Caenorhabditis elegans: one gene and its partner. The protein of the gene in region 1 binds, or shares a complex with, the protein of each later gene. Each region holds a gene or a part of one and is shown on either strand. Other genes may lie near its edges.

Evidence for each region.
Region 2: the proteins of lat-1 (region 1) and tol-1 are in contact, whole or in part, in a crystal structure (PDB 8SUF), measured with the Caenorhabditis elegans proteins. Residues at the interface, in NP_001366731.1 of Caenorhabditis elegans: Thr42, Leu63, Gly64, Asn65, Phe69, Ser70, Val71, Leu75, Asp79, Val81, Ile85, Asn86, Gln88, Tyr126, Glu128, Lys130; in NP_001020983.1 of Caenorhabditis elegans: Ile709, Cys710, Gln712, Tyr713, Gly714, Asn715, Cys716, Asp717, Val760, His778, Ile781, Gly782, Lys802, His805, Thr806.

Annotation. Positions count from the first base shown.
Region 1 is NC_003280.10:8,893,729-8,900,633, forward strand, and holds the start of lat-1 (Latrophilin-like protein 1), read left to right. Parts: upstream 1-3,112; 5' UTR 3,113-3,150; coding exon 3,151-3,259; intron 3,260-5,866; exon of another isoform or gene 5,867-6,016; intron 6,017-6,069; coding exon 6,070-6,256; intron 6,257-6,690; exon of another isoform or gene 6,691-6,905. UniProt on the Caenorhabditis elegans protein: Has a role in the establishment of anterior-posterior polarity in tissues during embryogenesis. Required for the alignment of the mitotic spindles and division planes. May have a role in cell death events.
Region 2 is NC_003279.8:442,310-445,909, forward strand, and holds the start of tol-1 (TIR domain-containing protein), read left to right. Parts: upstream 1-1,693; 5' UTR 1,694-1,708; coding exon 1,709-1,800; intron 1,801-1,944; coding exon 1,945-2,067; intron 2,068-2,684; coding exon 2,685-2,775; intron 2,776-3,600.

The sequences.
Region 1 (6,905 bases):
GCACAATGCAAAAATAGTCTAATCAGAGAGCCAAAGAACCCATCTGAAAGAAAAATGAAGAAACGGATGGAAATCGTAAAAGAGTAGTAAACTGGCATGATGGAAAGAGAGAAGAGCATGAATAATTTCCGAGCTCAGTTCCGAACACCTTCCATTTCTTATTTCCTGCCATACTGAAGGCGTGAGAACCTATTCATCAAGTTTTGATTTTAATTTTAGAAATTCTCAACGCTATATATAGTTGATCCATTTACTGAAATAAGTATATTACTTTTTATCCTCGACACTTTTTGATTTATAGCAGCCCGTCGATTTATGGATGTTTCTCTCGTATTCCGGTTGATCGAATCTCTACCGAGTGACGAGTTTAGGAGCTTCCGGTACCCATCCATCCGTCTTATCGCCTATTTTCCCTAATCTGATGTGCATTTTTTGGTGTAGAGACTAAAAAAGAGTCACTTTTCCAAAAAAGCAAAACTGGCAGTAGTTCTCTTCTTGTTTACCAACTCATAAGCCCATTGCAGTCCCTGTTTTTTTCGGGTTCAGTGCCCTTCACAACTAAACGACTTAGCATGGACTTCTATACATCTCTCAACATATTAAAGTCGTATCTATTGCAAACATTATACTTTCATACATAATCCTAGTTTTCCCTCATTCTTGTTCTTGAAAGTGCACAAACAGTAAATTCATATCTGATGAAATGTGACTTCAAGTAGCCAACCCTTTCCAAGCCAATGAATTCAGCACACGAGATCGTTAAAATCTTGGCTAACCGCGTTTCCTGCTCTGGCGGCCTCCATGGCTCCACTCGAAAGCTCACCTTGTTTGCATCCGGAAAATTGTCGTAAAACATGGCTTCGCTCCCATTCTCTTTTGCCATGTTCAAGTAAAGGTGGTCAGTTTTTATTCTTACGGCTGAATGGCGTGCCTTTTTTACCTTCACAAGTTGGCCGCTATTGGAAATCCCACGGTTGACTATTGCCTTTTCCCGTCCGTTGGTGGTATTTTGAATTGGCAGAAAAATTAGAACTTTTGAATTTTATGTTTATCAATCATTTTCTCTGATCACTTTGAGTTGGCTAGACACCTGTTGAAGCGCAAAAACGAGCAGACAAGTGATTTACGCGTTTGTTATAATGCCAAGTTGTAAAGTATTCCGATAAGAGTACATTCGTCTTTTGAACACTTTTTATAAACATTTTTTCTATTTCTGACTCATATTGCCATGTGAAATACTGATTTTCTTGTTGTTGTGTTTTGTACAAGTTCCACAAAAATTGTAAGAATTTATATATATATATTCCAAAAACAAAGTTCCATATATTTTTCAGATTATTTAGGAAAAAACTTATGTTAAAAAATATACCTCATTCTAATAGAACATTTTCGAACCTTTCTCAGCATTTTTATAAAATCTAATGCAACTCATTTTTCTGTTCAAAATCCGAATAAGTGGTAATCTAAAAAAATTGATTAATCTTTTCTCATTTTTATTGCCTCAATATTATGCCAATTTTCATAATTATTAGGCATTTTTATAACCGGAAGTGAGATCATAAGAATATTATCTACGTTCTAGTGTCCTTCTGTTTCCCAAGTGTCATAACAGTCTTGCTCTTCGGTCCGTCTATAACTCTTTCAGAATATCGGTTTCCCAGTCAATTTGGCAACAGACGGTAATCATCATTCATTTCCGTCAGTCTATAATACCTCTAGACATTTTACGATGTCTAAGTAGCAGACTCCTATCGATTCTCTCGAAATGCAGCTCTATTGTTGTACCAAAAAAGAGATCTGCCACTAATTTGAGCAAAGATCGTATCTTCCGATAACCTTTCCTAATCGCGGTCATTCGACGCCATAATTGTTCTTCACCTCGTATTCTCCCACTATCATCCCACCCGACACCACAATTGTCTCTATGGTGAGAGCCCGAGATTCGAAGGCGATATGAGTGTCAATTTATCTTGCTGATCCCCCTCTCGTCGTGTTTTACAACCAGATTGGCTGTGTCAAATCTGCAACGAATCTAATTCATTAGTCTTACTGTCATAGTGGTCTTTGTTTTATTGTTGTTGTTGTCCATTAGTAGTGCGAAAAAACCATTTTAATTAATTTATTCTTCCACAATTAATAATTACAGTCATACTAGGAAAACATTTTAAATCTATAATTCTAGACCTCTCGTTACGTTTTATTTGAAATTTTCCATTATTTAATTTTTGCTACTAAACCATGTTCCTAGTGACAGCTGAATGCCTTTAAATGTCCATTTCCATAAGCAAATACAGTTATCATCTTTGTTTTGTCTCTTCCTTTCTATTTCTCTTCTACTCCTGCGTTTGGTGCCCTTTATATTTCCAACTGCACTCAATTTCCTCTGTTCTGTAGCGGCTTGATCGTGGTAGAAGAACAAAAACTGTAAAATCGGTGAATCATTCCGATTTATTTTCAATTTTTGTGTGTTATTTCGAAAGGATGGAATTTTTAGATTTTTTCCCTACTATCAGCTTTTAGCACAGTCACGAGATATCGTAGATGCTTGTGATTCATCACTTTTCATCTATTAAATTCATTTTCGTTCAAAATGTTGTTTATTTCAATCGAAAAATAGCTTTATTTTGAGATTTATCGTAATTTTACAAGATGCCTTCTTAAAGGCGCACGGTCCAAAAGTCTGTTTCTGTGAACTTCGCAGAAAAATTAGTACTTCTTTCTTTTCCTATTCTTTTTTCTAAGTAAATTTTCTCTAAGTTAATCTCCATTAATCTAAATTTCATTTTCCCATGACACCAAGATTTCCCTGGAGCTCAATTTCCATGTTCATGATACCTTGTTACAGTTCGGATTCCCACGTCATTAGATCCCAGATGGTTGCCCACGTGCCGATGGGTTTGCCTCTTCCCAAAGCACCGCCTACTTCTCAGCTGCCCCTCCTCCTTTCGGTTGTCCGCCCGTCGTTCTCGTTCTCTCCGCCAATCTTTCCCTACTCTCCTCTATGCTTTCTCTAGTTTTGCCTTCTTACCGTTCTACTTTTGTTACAGAACTTTTTTTATTGTTAAAAAGTTTAATATAATTGCTCTATTTTTCCAACTTTTCTTCTTTGCAGGAAACTCTTACACTCGACGAACAAAATAGTATGCACTGATGCGACGTAACAAAACGACTTATTCGTTGCTCCAAACGATTCTGGTAGCTTGTCTACTGACTGTTACTCCAACTTTCGCCAGCAACAAGCCGACAACGGATGAAAGTGGTGAGTATTTTGATTTTAAAATTTTCAAAATGACCGGATCTTTGTTCTTAAATGAATTAGAAAAAAATTCAAAAAATTACTAAGCTATCATAGTTCTTATAAAAGTGAAAACGCCATAGGAACACTTCTTCTTCTATTCTAATGCTGCAGTTTTCCCCCTCAATTCCACACTTGAGATCATTGCCGATTAGTTAACGATGCGCCTAGTTAACGATGCTTATTCTCTTGTTTCCGACTTGAAAGATCATGTCATTTTCTTAATTATGCATCGCCGACACGTCTCCCGGGGGACGGAAACATCCTGGTCCTTGGTCCAAAATCGAGCCGACTTCCTGTATGTGTCCCAGTTCGCCAACACCACTACCTCCATCCCACAAAAGTGTTAATCGTGCAGTTGTCGGTTGGGGGTCTGGTGAGCGGTGAGCATAGCCTTTGTTGCGTAATGTTATCTTACCGGTCCGGAAGTGCACATTTCTGTGTGGACCTCCTGGTGAGCACCGCCATATTAATAGTTGTCCTAGAACACCACTCGTCATTGATCGAACTTATCAGTCTAGGAAATGGAAACTGCAAAATATTTATTTGTTTGGATGAGCGTGCCTCCTCCTTCTCGAGATGTATATATTTCCAGCCTAGATGGGATTAAGAAAAGGTGTCGAGAGGGAAAGAGGGTGGCAGGCATCATTCCTACGTTTTTGAGAGTTTCCCTCAAATTCTCTTCCGAAATGGAAGTTTCTTTCCGCTTGACGGTTTTTGGGGTTTGTTTGCATTTGGGACGAACCTAGAATTGAATAAATGTAAAGCGCTTGCAACTCCTACTTTTTCACTTGAATTGTTGTTTATATGAAAGTCATTGTCCTCATCAACTGCTAGGTACGGGTCGGATTAAGGTGTTATTTGGGTGGAAAAGGCACCTGTGGATGATTTCCACTACCACCTGCCCTTGTTATCGTTCGCCAAATGATCGTTAGCCCCCCGCTTCTGCTTGCTTATCCAGGAATACGGACATTTTTGGAGGGTATATATGACATTGTTGCAGCCATAATTTTGTGAGGATGCACAACAAATTAGACGTACACAATACCCCGCATTGTTCCAAATCTCGCGCATTTGGTTTCGATGGCATGGTGGTTGTGTCCTCGAATTAATTTGTTCTGCTAACGAACTCATCAATTAGAAACTAATATATTGGAAAATCATTCACATTTCTATGACAACTGTCTCAAAGTTTTTTTTCTCGAGTGCATCCACTTCAAACTGTTTTGTCGGCGTTGTCACAACATGGAAACTCGAATAATAGTAGTGGTAGTAATATAACTGATTGATATGCTTACTAATCTCATTGGTACATAAAAAACTTTTTCGAGTTTTGATCTTGCCGACAGACTACTCATCTGCCCAGCAGTTTCCGAGTGGTGATCACCGATACTTTTAGTAAACATACTGAAGATGGCTCCTTCCTGCTGATGCTTCTTGCTAGTCACCCAAATTGAGTCAATTAGAGGGGCAAGTAAAGGAAAGATAGTGGAGGGCAAGAAAGACAGCTTGCACGAAAACAGACGTATCTACAATTAGATGCTGCCGCCGATTTTGGTGATGCACTTTTTAGCAGAAGTAAAACAACACATGGTAGTCATTTTCACAGTAGGAGGTGTCGAAAGTAGGCATATGTCGGTTTCGCGGATTAGCACTCTGATGGATGCGGTGGCGACAGAAACATTGAGTTGCACAATCGTCAGGCGGTCAGGGCTGTGTTTATCTATATATGAAAAAGGTCCGAGATTCTTATCTGTCATCTCTTCCCTTTTTGGCGGGTGTGTGTGCATCCATTCGCATCCGAGATTGAATTGATAGACAAGTAAGTAATATGCTGTGAACAGGCAGGCGTCAATTGTCATATTCGAAACAATAAGAGCATAAAACGAGCGGCTCACTTGCCTTCTTTCTTTTAGGTTTTTTGTGTCTGGCGGCATTATATCTTTAGAGCTATAATCTATCATTCATTTATTTTTTGAATGTGAACGGTCATAAAAGGTGACCCATAGCTCAATTATTCATTTGTTCATGATCCTCTCCCGACGGCACATGTAATCTGAATCCGGCGTTTTAGGGCCAAAGAAACTCAATCCGCGGCTCTCGTTGTTTGCTTTTACTGGTTTCTCGCGCACATGCGACGAATTCCCACAAGTTTCGATGTGTCGTTTTCGTTGATGGCTCCTAGTAGAACACAATTTATTGAATAAAGAGGCGCCCGGTGATGATGGAAAAGTTGTTGAAGAGCCACTTATGACTGGTAAAGAGGGGAGCACATCTCTGAATAAGACACACACACACACACACACACGTAATTCGTAATTGGTATGCCAGTGTCATCGTCAGCTTCTAAACGAATTAGTTGAGACTAAGAGCCTAACAATCGTTTACTGCCGGATATTTTCCACAAAACAGTTATCCTAACGGGCCTAACATTTTCTCTTCCGTTAACCAGGTGAATCGGTGTACGATTACGGTTTTGATGGCGTAATGTTGCCCTGATCGGACAGAGGCTACTCGTCGCAATGGAGAGCCTGTTGTTATACTGTTCACATAGATAGTATGAGAAATTAGGAGACGCTGACTGAAACGTGAGCACGCGCTGCGCAACAGCAGACGGGGGAGACGAAAATGAAGAAGAACGGTATGCATATGAATGAATGAATGAAACAAACATAAGAAAATTATTATTATGCAAGTCATGTCGAGAAGGAAGCTCCTCGCGGAAATTGAAAAAAAATTTTGAGGGCAATTTGAATATAAATATTAAATTTCAGGAACCATCTCACACACAATATGTGATGGTGAAGCTGCTGAACTGAGTTGTCCTGCTGGAAAAGTAATCTCGATTGTCCTAGGAAACTATGGAAGATTCTCTGTCGCTGTTTGCCTTCCTGACAATGACATCGTTCCATCCAACATCAACTGCCAAAACCACAAGACAAAGTCAATTCTGGAGAAGAAGTAAGTTTTAAAATTTCAAAGGCTACTTTACTATTACTATTCTGGGGACTTGTGGGGGGCACCCTATGCTTTGACCTAACTAACATATTCAACGAGTTATGAATAGGTGCAAGCCGCATTTGTAATAGCTTACTCACACACCTTTTCGCGACTATCAATTGTTGTATTTGTCGGACTTTGGAATACGTTGAACATGTTTGAAGAGCTGACCGACACATAAATACACGTATAGTTTTATGTCCCAGTGCCATTGTTCAGTCTTATCAGTTGAAGCGAACTGTACAGAAAGACCTTGGCATGGGATTTATCCGTGGCAGGTGAAAGATTAATAATTCATTGTGAATACACTAATTGAACATCCGGCCATGTATGTACAGCAATCGGTCGAATAATTCAAATTGGCACATCCTGGCCGAGCAGTCACAGACAATACCGCTATAAAAATGATGATGATATTGCCTTCGTGTGCGCGATCAGCCTCCCGTTGTCTACACAAGGTCGTTTGTCATTTGTGCCCGTTTTTTTGTAACGAAGTGCTGTCGAAAAGAGAACATTCATTAGCCGACCTCCATGTCTGCCAGTTATTCTACCATTTTTCTACCGGAGGGGGAAATCATGCCCCGGACGCCGCTCACGGCGTGCTGCCTTC
Region 2 (3,600 bases), on another chromosome or scaffold:
TGTCAAACGGCACCACCACAAGTGGTTGCCCTCGCCCGTGTGCTAATTCGCATTTTGTCTTGTTAATCACGCAATAGTGATAACAATCGCTTCCGGACCATTGCTAATATAATATATTGGCTACCGCGGGCATGTCTTGGCAATAACCTTGATGTCAAGTTTTATCGTTAAAATGTGAAGCTGTATGATTGCGAAAAATTTGAAGTTTTCCCATTCAAATTGTAGGCATATTTGAAAAATTTCTGAAGATTTATATCTGTCGTAAGTGGAACGGTTTATTTGGTTTCTTGGGTCTCGTCGCGAAAAGCTTTCACTATGGTTTGAAGCACGACTGGGCGACAATCGAAGTCGAAGTTCGGCAATTCGATAATTCGGCAATTATCGAGTTCAAGATTTTCGAAAGAAAAACTCAAAAAATAATTTTGAAATCTATTTATTAGTTCTGGACACGCGGAGTCAGAAAGTCCCATTTCGCTTTGATCTACGAAAAATGCGGGAGTTGAGACGCAGACATCTCAACTGATTTCGCATGGTTAAGAGTGTGCTGACGTCACAATTGTTCTGGAAAAAAATTCCCGCATTTTTTGTAGATCAAACCGTAATGGGATAGCCTGGACGTAGAACTCGCCAAATCGTAGATATATGCATAATGAAAACTCTAGAGTTAACTCTGCCACCCTCATAAAGTGAGTTAGAAACATTTCTGCTCTGAGGAACTATAGAACCCCCTTTCAAGTCGATCGTCAGCAAATTCTAGAAAGATCTGACAGTGGCCGATTTTTTAATGTTTCTAGGCCACGTAAAAAAGCTGATGTCTTGTTACTTTTCAATTCGAAAATCCCTTTTTTTAATTTTTCGGCAGCACCCGGTCCGAGCCAACATCTTCCTAAACACTTCAAAACCCCGCCCCCTTCTGCCCTCCCGGGTGTCTCCGTGTTGTTCAGGGTGTTGTCCACCCCCTAGACACCCAACTGACCATTCACCCGTCTCCTCCTCCCCCTCTACAACAACCACCACCACCTGATCCATTCCATTATAATGATATTCCGCATACTTGTCATACAGAGAATACCCGGTTTGCTGCTGCCAAACGGTTTTCATTTATTCCATTTCTCACTCCTTGATTGTTGTCAATTCTTCGATTCGATGCGGCAAAACTAGCGCCAGTGGGGAAATTGCTTTAATAGTAAACAATTTTTTTTTAAATTTCCTATATTTTTTGTATAAGATTTTCTTTTTTAATTGCAAATCCCATGGGAAAGTCTCAAATTGCATAAAATTCCAATTTGAATTCCCTCCAAGATTTCAATGTTCGATGGAGCGCACTTGAATTATTATAATTTTTATCAATGAATTTTTTTATCATCTCTGACTGATTTTTCACGATTTTTTGTGTAGTTTTAGAGGAAATTTACTGAAAAATCCAAGTTAAATGTAAATTTCCGATTTTTATACAATTTTTGGACTACTTTCCCCGCCGCCACCGCTAAAAATCCCAATTTCCTGCAAGTTTTCACCTGCTCTGACTCATTTCCGCGAGCGCGCGCGCTCGTACTTTTTATCTTTTACTATTTATTTATCTCCTCCAAAAAAAAATCCCGTTAATTTTTTTTCCCTTACAATTTCTCATAATTTACTCATTTAGTTTGGCTTAAAAAATGCTAAATTAAATTTTTTTTTCATTTCCAGATCACATGACACAACGAAAATGAGGAGAAAAATGAAGTTATTCCTATTTTTATTATTAGTAATTAATATATGTCGGTCGGCCGCTGCTAACGGTGACGAATGCCCGAAATTGTGAGTTTTTCGCTTAAAAATCAGATTTTTTTCGAATTTACTGTGAAAAAGCGGGGGTTTTGCCTGAATTTTCACTTAAAACTGCTTTTTTTTGCTAAAATCCCGAATTTTTCAGAGAAAAATAATTCAAACTCCATTTTTCAGCTGTAAATGTGCTCCGGATCCGGTGCAGCCGACGTCTAAACTCCTATTATGCGACTATTCTTCGAAAAACACGACAATTACACCTATTGCGTCGTCGAATTATGATCAGGTTGCTAATATTCGGTGAGGTTTTTTGATTTTTGAATGAAAAATTTGAGAAATTTTTAAAAATGGGAAAAAATGTGATTTTTAAATCAAGATATCGGAAAATACGAAAAAATTTCCAAGAAAATGGTGGTTTTTATCGAAAAAATGTTAAAAATGCATAGAAAATTTGGATTTTCGAGTTCGAAATTTTCTGAAAACAAAAAAAAAAGTTTTTTTTTACACTAAAACATTAAAATTGGATTTTTTTTTCCGAAAAACATAATTTTTCAATTTCTAACAGTAAAAAGCTCACAAAATTCCTTGAAAATTGACAAATTTAGTATTTTTTACACGAAAAATGCATTAAAATTGAATTTTTAAAACAATTTAAACTTAAAATAAAATTTTCATTTATTCTACACGGTAAATGTATTAAAATAATTAAAACTTCGAAATTTTAAATTAGAAAAAATCAAATTTCCTCCTTATTCTCAATTTTTTTTTACAGCAAAATTTCAGTTGAATTTTCCCATAATTTTGAATTAAAAATGTGTTTTATTCCAAAAAAAAACTATTTTACAACAAAAAACTAGATTTTTTCCCAATTTTCTATGAAAAATTTAATTTACCAATAACTTATTTTCTTTTTCCAGATCACTATTCATATCTTGTGATAATAATAATTTCCAATTTCCGGATGCCTACTTCAAGTCGTTAACCGCGTTGCATCATCTGCGGATAGTGGTGAGTTTATTATATTATCAGCTGTTCTCTACAGAACATCTGCTTTTTGCGTGTAAATTTAGAGGTCAATTTTCGGAAAAATTGGAAAAATTGGCCTAAATCTCAATTTGAAGTAGATTTTCACGTGTTCAAAAATGTTCAAAAAATTCAATCAAAAATTCGATTTTTGGAATACTTCAAAAAAATTTAATTTTCTTCGAGAAAACCGGTAAATTACAAAAAAAATTCGTTGGCGATTTTTTTCTGTAGTTTTCCAGAAAAACAAACGAAAATTTTAATTTTTAATTTTTAAATTTTCCAAAAAAAATTTTTAAAAATTCATAAATATGTCCATTTTAATTTTAAAAATATCGGAAAATATTCAAAAAATGAACTTTTCTATCGAAAATTTAACAAGAAAAAATTACGAAAAGTTCATTCAAAAAATTAAAATTCTTCTATATCTGAGGAAGGCTAACAGTAATTTTTTCCCATTTTTTGACTCTTTGAGCAAATAACCGTATCACTAATTACCTTAACCATCAAAAAAGAAAGGTGTGCCTGTCTTCTATTCATCCTCCTCTCGACACCAAATTCTTAAGAAGAGCCCCCCACTCGGATGTCTCTAATTAGGCACAAATGTTACGTCATTTTGTCATTTGTACGGCCACAGATGACCTCCGGTGTGCTTGGAGGACTGCGAGAGAGGAGGATTAAGGGGATTTTTATGTCCTACAATTGATTTTTTTAGGTCAAAAGTAGGGATTTTAAGGCCAAAAATAGAGATTTTTTAGGTCAAAAGTAGGGATTTTAAAGCAAAAAAAAAAAATTTTCGGCCAAAACAGT